Arabidopsis thaliana: one gene and its partner. Each later gene encodes a partner of the first gene's protein in a complex. Each region holds a gene or a part of one and is shown on either strand. Other genes may lie near its edges. The genes, in order: SAE2 and SCE1. A codon is read from its position in the direction of its gene.

Region 1 (3,923 bases):
AGCCGCTTCAATGTTAGAACCAAACACATGATCATATATCTTCCTACCATACTGCTCAATATCTTCATCTTCTGAACGTTCAAATACATCTTCTGTTTCTTTGGATGAGCTTGCAGAATTGTTGGATCGCACATTAAGATCATTATCTTGATTCTTGTCGCCAAACAACTTTGCAAAGAGCAGGTCTTTTGCCCATACAATACAGTGCACAAACTGCAGAATCAATTCAAAATTCATCGGCACATCAAAAACAAGCTCTATGCTTAGGATAATACTATATAAGCCAAGATAGAATATAATTTCCCCAAGATTCACAAAAATTTGGAACAAACAAGACAGTGTTAATACCTTAGTTGGCGTGCTGGTTATTGTACACACAGGATAAGTCTTTGGAGCAGGTTTGGTTTGGCACTCATAACATTCTGTTTTTCCCTTTATATGCACAGTTACCTGATTTTTACAAGCAAGTATTGCAAAGTCAGATACGAGAGAAATGACAACAGTACACCATTCAAGCCTAACATTGTAGTGCATCTAACTCATAGAATAATGATAAGAGAAAGAAGAGCTGCAAGACCAAAAGGCAAGCAGAATAACCTGTCCAAGGAAGCCCGTTGTCCCACTTTCTACAAGAGGAACATCAGCTGCAAGACAAAGGCGATTCACATGACGCCTTGCGTCCAAGTTGTCCAGCCCATTCAGAACAACATCAAATTGCTTGAAAAAATCAACATCAAACTCGGGATTCTTCACATTTGCATGGTATGATCTTATATTAATGTTAGGCCTAAATCTCAAGACTGCATCTCTGGCAACCTGGTGATATGGTAAAAATATATTAACTCTTATGAACTGGCTTTCCTTGGACTTAGCTCAAGCAAAATTACCTTAGCCTTAGACTGCCCAACATGAGAACGACGGAATAGAAATTGCCTATTCAGGTTACTGACTTCAATAGTGTCCATGTCAATCTGTAACACAAGAGTTCAGTAACTTAATCACGGTTACAAACTAATCTTATAAGTCCCTGCTCTATTCATACAGAAATCCAGTAGGAGCACAGGTGAAATCCGATGGTTTCTGATACAAAACATCAATCATAAATCTACAAAATCCGAAAATTAAAACAGAAGCAATTCATGCACACCAAATTATAAATAGCCTAACTAGTCTTAGAAATTACACTAAACCTATTGGCGAAGACAGCTAAACAGAGAGTCCTCCTAGAGACATATGATTCCATCTTCCAAGTCAAACTTAACTTGATCTAAAAGCTCAAAGATGTTGAAATTACTCAAATCATCAATAACCCTAAATGCCAATCAAATCCAGTAGCACAATAGGAGATTTGAAATGCTTAAACTTTCGTCTGTGACCCAGAATCTCAATAGAGAAGAAGAAGAAATCACAAGTTAAGAATACTAAAAGTCACGAAAACAGAAAAAGTGGAAAGAAATTGAGAAACTTACAATATGAATGTCCTCGAATCCAGAAAGAGCAAGAGTCTTAAGTAACTCGCAACCAATCCCACCAGCTCCAACCATAAGCACTTTCGCGCCCTAAAACCAAACACAGGAGAATTGAAAAGACTTCAATTTGAAAACACCCCAATAAAAAGAAGCTTAAGTTCACCTTCAGAGCTTACTTTAATGGCGGATTGCTGTTGTTGCGTAGCCATGGCGGAGAAAGTGAAAAGACGGAGCAATACGTTAAACGACGATTCAGAAGCAGAAGAAGGAGAACTGGGGGATTAGAAAAATTAAAGCTTTTTAGGACTAATGAATTGAAATCGAAAGAAATTAGGGAACAGAGAAATAGTAGCGAATTTTGATTTTCTAGGGTTTATTGTGGAGGGATTTGGGAAATTTGGAAGAAAGAACAAAGGAGAGAAGAGGAAAAGAGACGTCTCTTGGAGAAAAAAGAGTCACGTGGGCTTTTTTGTGTGTAAACTTGTTAGTTTCCTCTTTCGAATATTTAGTGTAGTTGACTTTTTTAATTCAATTCGATTCGAGTCAAAACAAAATTTTGATTCGAGTGAATTTTTATTTTTTATGTAAACTTATGTTTGAAAAACATTAATTAAAAAGATATATATTTTTTTTCATATAAATGTCTTTACACCTTCTTGCTCAATTTAGTGATGGCTTTTAATTAGTAGTTTGATCGGACTCAAGCCTTTTAATTTTTTTCTTTTCAAATTTTATAAACTATCTCTACTGATGGATTTTTTTATATAGAGTTTATAGCTTACGTTAGGTTAAGTTCTTGATATTTGTTTAAACTATCTCAATCATTTGCTAAGAGTTAAAGCTTAATTCAATAAATCTAGACAATGACGTTTTGATAAAAACAAAACACGTTTGTTTTGTTGAATTTGTAGTTTATTTCAGTCACGACTTTTTGCTTGGTTGATGGAATGTATATTCAAGTAATGCTTTCTCTGGTTTGATGAATTCCTACAATGGATACTGAATGGAAGCATCGTACGTCTCTCATGGTGTAATGTTCTTTCTTCATTGTGTGTTGAATTCGGTGTGTTACCTCTTCTTCTCTGTCATGATACTTAGAGCTCTTTGCCTTGTGTTTTATCATGCCCATTGGGTTCTCTGGTCTTTAGTATTTCCTTTCTTCAATAGGTGTTTATGTAATTCCCTCGGGATGATACTTGTAATTGACTTTAGGGTTTAGTTTCACTAATTCATTGGTCGTTAGTCACATACGACTAATGTATGTGCTTGATTCTCCTTCTTTACCTTGATGCATTCTCTTGTGTTGATTACTCTAATAGCCCTAGTTAGCTCATTGATTGTTCAATTTAGTTTCCAATTTTGAATCATGTTATGCATTTTATCTCTTTGTTTTGTAGTCCTAATTACCTGTTATTGGCTTGCATTTTATCTCGTCTAATTGGGTTCTCCCATATTCAAGACCTTAGTGTTTATTGTCATTTCTTGAATGCACATTTATGTGACTCTTTGTGTTGATCTTGTAATTCGCTTTGGGGTGTAGTTTTACTAATTGATTGTTTGTTGCATTATATACACATAGGTGTAACCTAGATTATTAAATTACACTTCCTCATAAATAATATCCATTTCACTTGATATCATGTTGTGAAGTGATCAAAATGGATTTAGTAGGATTGGTGCTTGTGCACTCTCGACTTCTTTGTCTGTAAAGCCTAGTATCCATCTGAGTGTAACTAAAAAAGAATTCATTTATACCAAATATCGTTAGCTTAATTGGTAAAAACCCTAGGTGAAGCTTAGAGGTTGCCGGTTCGAGTGACGCTTGAGACTAAACTAATATTATATGCTGTGGTTTCAGATTTGGGAGGATTACGGACTTTGACCCAGAATCTCTGGTATTCAAAAAAAAAAAAAAATGATTTCATTTCATGAACCAAATACTACTAATGTCTCGGTGGTGTATACACCCAAACCAATATTCGTTTCTGCAAAAGTTGTAAATTTTGTAATATTGTGACCTCAATCAGGTTTCTCCTGTGATGTTCTTCTTTTCTAATCTTGTTTTACAGTTTCAAAAATCTACAATTGTACACAACAACTTCGTAGCTTAAACATATCCATTGTAAATGAAAATTAATCTTGTCCACTAATCCCAACAGCAACAAATCCTAGCACATAATCGATCTACAATTATTGGCATTCACTTCAGTCATTAGAAAGCTAAGTTAAATTTTCATTATTCGCTCTAGTGGAATGAAGGGTAAAATTGTCAAGACACAAAACCAGAAATGTTTAATTCTGTAAAGCATTACAAAATTTCCTAATCTCTAATTTCCAACCCAACAAATGCCTATTTTTAATAATAACTCCTAAAATAATAGGAACAAAAAGAAGAAAGAATGAAGAGAAATGAAATAGAACAAACTACAGGGAATAAAACCTTTGTTACTTTTT
Region 2 (3,923 bases), on another chromosome or scaffold:
GTTTTTGATCCGTGCACCGTTGTTACTGTTGGAGTTTTTGATAACTGCCATCTCCATGGAGGTGAGAAGATTGGAGGAGCAAAAGATTCAAGAATCGGGAAGGTAAGAATCAGGCTTTCTACTCTCGAGACTGATCGAGTTTATACACATTCATACCCTCTTTTGGTGCTCCATCCTAACGGAGTCAAGAAAATGGGAGAAATTCACTTAGCTGTGAGATTCACTTGCTCTTCATTGCTCAACATGATGTATATGTACTCACAGCCTCTCTTACCGAAGATGCATTATATCCATCCACTGACGGTTAGCCAGCTTGATAACTTGAGGCATCAAGCGACTCAGATTGTATCGATGAGGCTGACCCGAGCAGAACCACCTCTAAGGAAAGAAGTAGTTGAGTATATGCTTGATGTGGGTTCTCACATGTGGAGTATGCGGAGAAGCAAAGCAAACTTTTTCAGGATTATGGGAGTTTTGAGTGGGTTAATCGCAGTAGGAAAATGGTTTGAACAAATCTGCAACTGGAAGAATCCAATCACAACAGTCTTGATCCATCTCTTGTTCATCATCCTTGTGCTCTATCCCGAACTAATCTTGCCCACCATCTTCCTCTACCTCTTCCTCATCGGTATCTGGTACTACCGTTGGAGACCGAGGCATCCTCCTCACATGGACACACGTCTCTCTCACGCTGACTCAGCCCACCCCGACGAGCTAGATGAAGAGTTCGACACTTTTCCTACTTCCCGACCATCTGACATAGTCAGGATGAGGTATGACAGGTTGAGGAGTATTGCTGGTAGGATTCAGACAGTGGTAGGTGATCTAGCAACTCAAGGAGAAAGGCTTCAGTCTCTGCTAAGCTGGCGTGATCCGCGTGCAACAGCGCTCTTCGTCTTGTTCTGCTTGATTGCCGCAGTCATTCTCTATGTGACACCTTTCCAGGTTGTGGCTCTTTGTATTGGAATCTATGCTCTGAGACATCCGAGGTTCAGATACAAACTACCATCCGTTCCTCTCAATTTCTTCAGAAGGCTTCCTGCAAGAACTGATTGCATGCTCTGACCTGCAAAAACTGCTTCCAATACCGAAGAAAACTTCTATAAGACTTGTAGTTTGTTCTTGTTAAAAATATCATGATGACTCTTTTTAGTTTGTTCATTGTTAAAAATGTCATGATGACTCTTTTCTTGGTGATGGTGATGATGTATCCGTCTGTCTTTTAACATTATTAAGACTTTTGTTTGAAAGTAGTAAAGAAGTATCTTGTGTGGTTTTGATGTTCTTGTCACTGGTTAGTAAGTCATAATCTATGCCTCTCTGGTTTTTGTGTTTTATCACTGGAGCTTTAGGAGTTTGGTGCCATTGGGTTGGTTGCTGTTGAGATTAGAGGTTGTCACAGTTTGGTCTAATGGTCAAATACAAGTTTCAAGAAAAAACCATTTTTCTAATACATCCAAAGTTGGTTATAACCAAAAAAACTATCATATTGGGAATATATGTTCGCTAAATAACATTCTTACACAAAAATTCATTGAAAGCTTTGATATTTTATTTTTTTTCCGACCATTCTGTTTGACAAATGTTTGCCAGGTGAGATACTTTTATTCTAGAAAGACCAACCATTAAGAAGAAGAGGGGAATAATTAAAGCAAGCTTAAGAGTTAAGAACACAAAGTAAATGGGCCCAGATATGGTAATGGGCCACGTGACAAATGGGATGATACGTTATGGCAGAGAAAGAATCTTTTGGTAGCTTTTTTGGGTATCATCGCGTAGGTTTCACGCCACATTTATCCATTGACTTTTTCATTACGTCTTTTCATTTATTTTATGATATAGTAGATAATAATTATACCTGGTTAAAATTTAATAATTGACCGGTCAATAACCATTAAAGTGGAGGAAGTAGGACGAAAGGACATTTATTCGCCGCGAAATCTGGACCGTACGATACTCCGATTACCCTTCTAAAGCTTTAACATAGGGGTACATCTGTAACTTCACATTCCATCTTCCCCCAATCTCCTATTTGTGTCTTCTTCGAGTTTATATATAGAGAGATAGAGATTGGAGAGCGAGCGAGACAAATCAGAAGAGAGAGATTTAGATATTGTAGAGTGAGATTCTAAAGAGAGAGAGAGAGAGAGATATGGCTAGTGGAATCGCTCGTGGTCGTTTAGCTGAAGAGAGGAAATCGTGGAGGAAGAATCATCCTCATGTAAGTGATTTCGTGTCTTCTATTTCTCCAAATTCGTGATTTTGATTTATGGGTTTTGGGTTTCTGTTGATTGTTCATGGTCTCTGATTACTGATTGGGTTTCTTCTTGTTGATGGTGAAATTTAGGGTTTTGTGGCAAAGCCGGAGACGGGGCAGGATGGAACTGTGAATCTAATGGTGTGGCATTGCACTATACCTGGTAAAGCTGGGGTAAGTATCAATCGTGAAATTAGGTTTCTTCAGTTTTCTTATTCCTCTGCTTGTTTTCTTCTGGTTTGTATTAGTAGCAACAAAAAAGAGATTGAAATTAGGGTTTATTGATTTGGGCTAAAGTCTTTGTTTTTATCATCTTCTGATTCTTAGTTCTTCAAAGTTTTAAGCTTCACCAGTCTCTTCCCTTCTTTTTCTTTGTGATTCTGTTTGATGATTCTCTCATATTTGCTTACACATAGAGCCGTGGAAGATTATCTAATATGAATGTTAGTGGGAAGAGTAGCTGTGTATCTATCTCCTTGTTTATCTTGTATGATGTTTTTTTATTGGTGCATATGATTTTGGTCTTGAATACGACATTGAAACTGAACTCTGCTGTGTATCTTACTTTGACATGGCTAATAAGAGTGTTACTGCAAGAGCAATTGCTAATATCAATCTTTACTGTTGTTTATAGCTAATTTTACATGTTTCTCTGCTGCAGACTGATTGGGAAGGTGGATTCTTTCCATTAACGATGCACTTCAGTGAGGATTATCCGAGCAAACCTCCGAAATGTAAATTTCCACAAGGGTTTTTCCACCCTAATGTCTATCCATCTGGAACTGTCTGTCTCTCTATCCTTAACGAGGATTATGTAAGTACTCTACTGTTTCTTTCTTTGCATTTCTCCATGAGCAAAAGCCAGCTTTATCCTCAAGCTCTCTTTTGTTATGTGTATATCCATAGGGATGGAGACCAGCCATCACCGTGAAGCAGATTCTTGTTGGTATTCAGGATTTACTTGACACACCGAATCCCGCTGACCCTGCACAGACAGATGGTTATCATCTCTTCTGTCAGGTACATTTAGAAATGAAAACTCTAAACACAATATTAGGTTTTGAAACATAGGAAGGAACTAAGTCGAGTGATTGTTGATGATTATTGTGCAGGATCCAGTTGAGTACAAGAAAAGGGTGAAGCTGCAGTCCAAGCAGTATCCTGCTCTTGTCTAAAACCTCAAAAAAGAGAACGCACCAAAACTGATGACAAGCTCTGAATATTTTCTCGTCTTGTGTCATTATGTTTAGATGTCATTGGGTGATTGAAAACTCCTCATTTTGGCACCTTAAGACACTGGAATCTATTTATTTTCGAAAAAAAACTCTTCTTTCTCTATTTAACTGTTAATATTCTTGGTACTGATTCAGTTGGTGTTGCTTCTATATAATACATAATTATGTTCTCTGGTCGTTCATGAGTGTTGTCCAAATTCTACTAAGTGAAATATGAAGTCTTCATTCCATAGAGTAACGAATCTTAGTTGTGAATCTAGAAATACATATATTTCTAACTTGAAACTACGCTTAACACTTGAAAGTCAAAATCTTACTCCTCTAAAATTTATACTCCACTGATTTTAGACTTTTGAAGTAGTATTAGTGCTTGTTAGTAAATTGTTTGCTACTTGGAACATTTTTTGTCAATGATTGAGATAGAAAGCTTG

What was found.
Region 2: the proteins of SAE2 (region 1) and SCE1 are in contact, whole or in part, in a crystal structure (PDB 6GUM), measured with the Arabidopsis thaliana proteins. Residues at the interface, in NP_179742.2 of Arabidopsis thaliana: Leu469, Met471, Gly473, Asn474, Ser475, Leu476, Glu479, Val480, Gly481, Asp483, Leu484, Asp485, Met488, Asn491, Tyr492, Asn495, Pro504, Thr514, Glu516, Asp517, Leu518, Gln519, Lys525; in NP_191346.1 of Arabidopsis thaliana: Arg7 (codon at 2,171), Ala11 (codon at 2,183), Arg14 (codon at 2,192), Lys15 (codon at 2,195), Arg18 (codon at 2,204), Lys19 (codon at 2,207), Lys28 (codon at 2,360), Pro29 (codon at 2,363), Thr31 (codon at 2,369), Asp34 (codon at 2,378), Gly35 (codon at 2,381), Thr36 (codon at 2,384), Val37 (codon at 2,387), Asn38 (codon at 2,390), Leu39 (codon at 2,393), Met40 (codon at 2,396), Glu67 (codon at 2,964).

The regions. Positions count from the first base shown.
Region 1 is NC_003071.7:9,196,507-9,200,429, reverse strand, and holds the start of SAE2 (SUMO-activating enzyme 2), read right to left. Parts: upstream 1,837-3,923; 5' UTR 1,679-1,836; coding exon 1,646-1,678; intron 1,560-1,645; coding exon 1,470-1,559; intron 972-1,469; coding exon 888-971; intron 817-887; coding exon 598-816; intron 451-597; coding exon 349-450; intron 214-348; coding exon 1-213.
Region 2 is NC_003074.8:21,428,340-21,432,262, reverse strand, and holds SCE1 (sumo conjugation enzyme 1), read left to right. Parts: upstream 1-1,864; 5' UTR 1,865-2,152; coding exon 2,153-2,221; intron 2,222-2,347; coding exon 2,348-2,431; intron 2,432-2,918; coding exon 2,919-3,071; intron 3,072-3,163; coding exon 3,164-3,277; intron 3,278-3,369; coding exon 3,370-3,432; 3' UTR 3,433-3,767; downstream 3,768-3,923. Other genes in the region: AT3G57880 (Calcium-dependent lipid-binding (CaLB domain) plant phosphoribosyltransferase family protein), read left to right, coding at 1-1,065. UniProt on the Arabidopsis thaliana protein: SUMO-conjugating enzyme that accepts the SUMO proteins from the E1 SUMO-activating heterodimer SAE1/SAE2 and catalyzes its covalent attachment to other proteins with the E3 SUMO ligases SIZ1 and MMS21.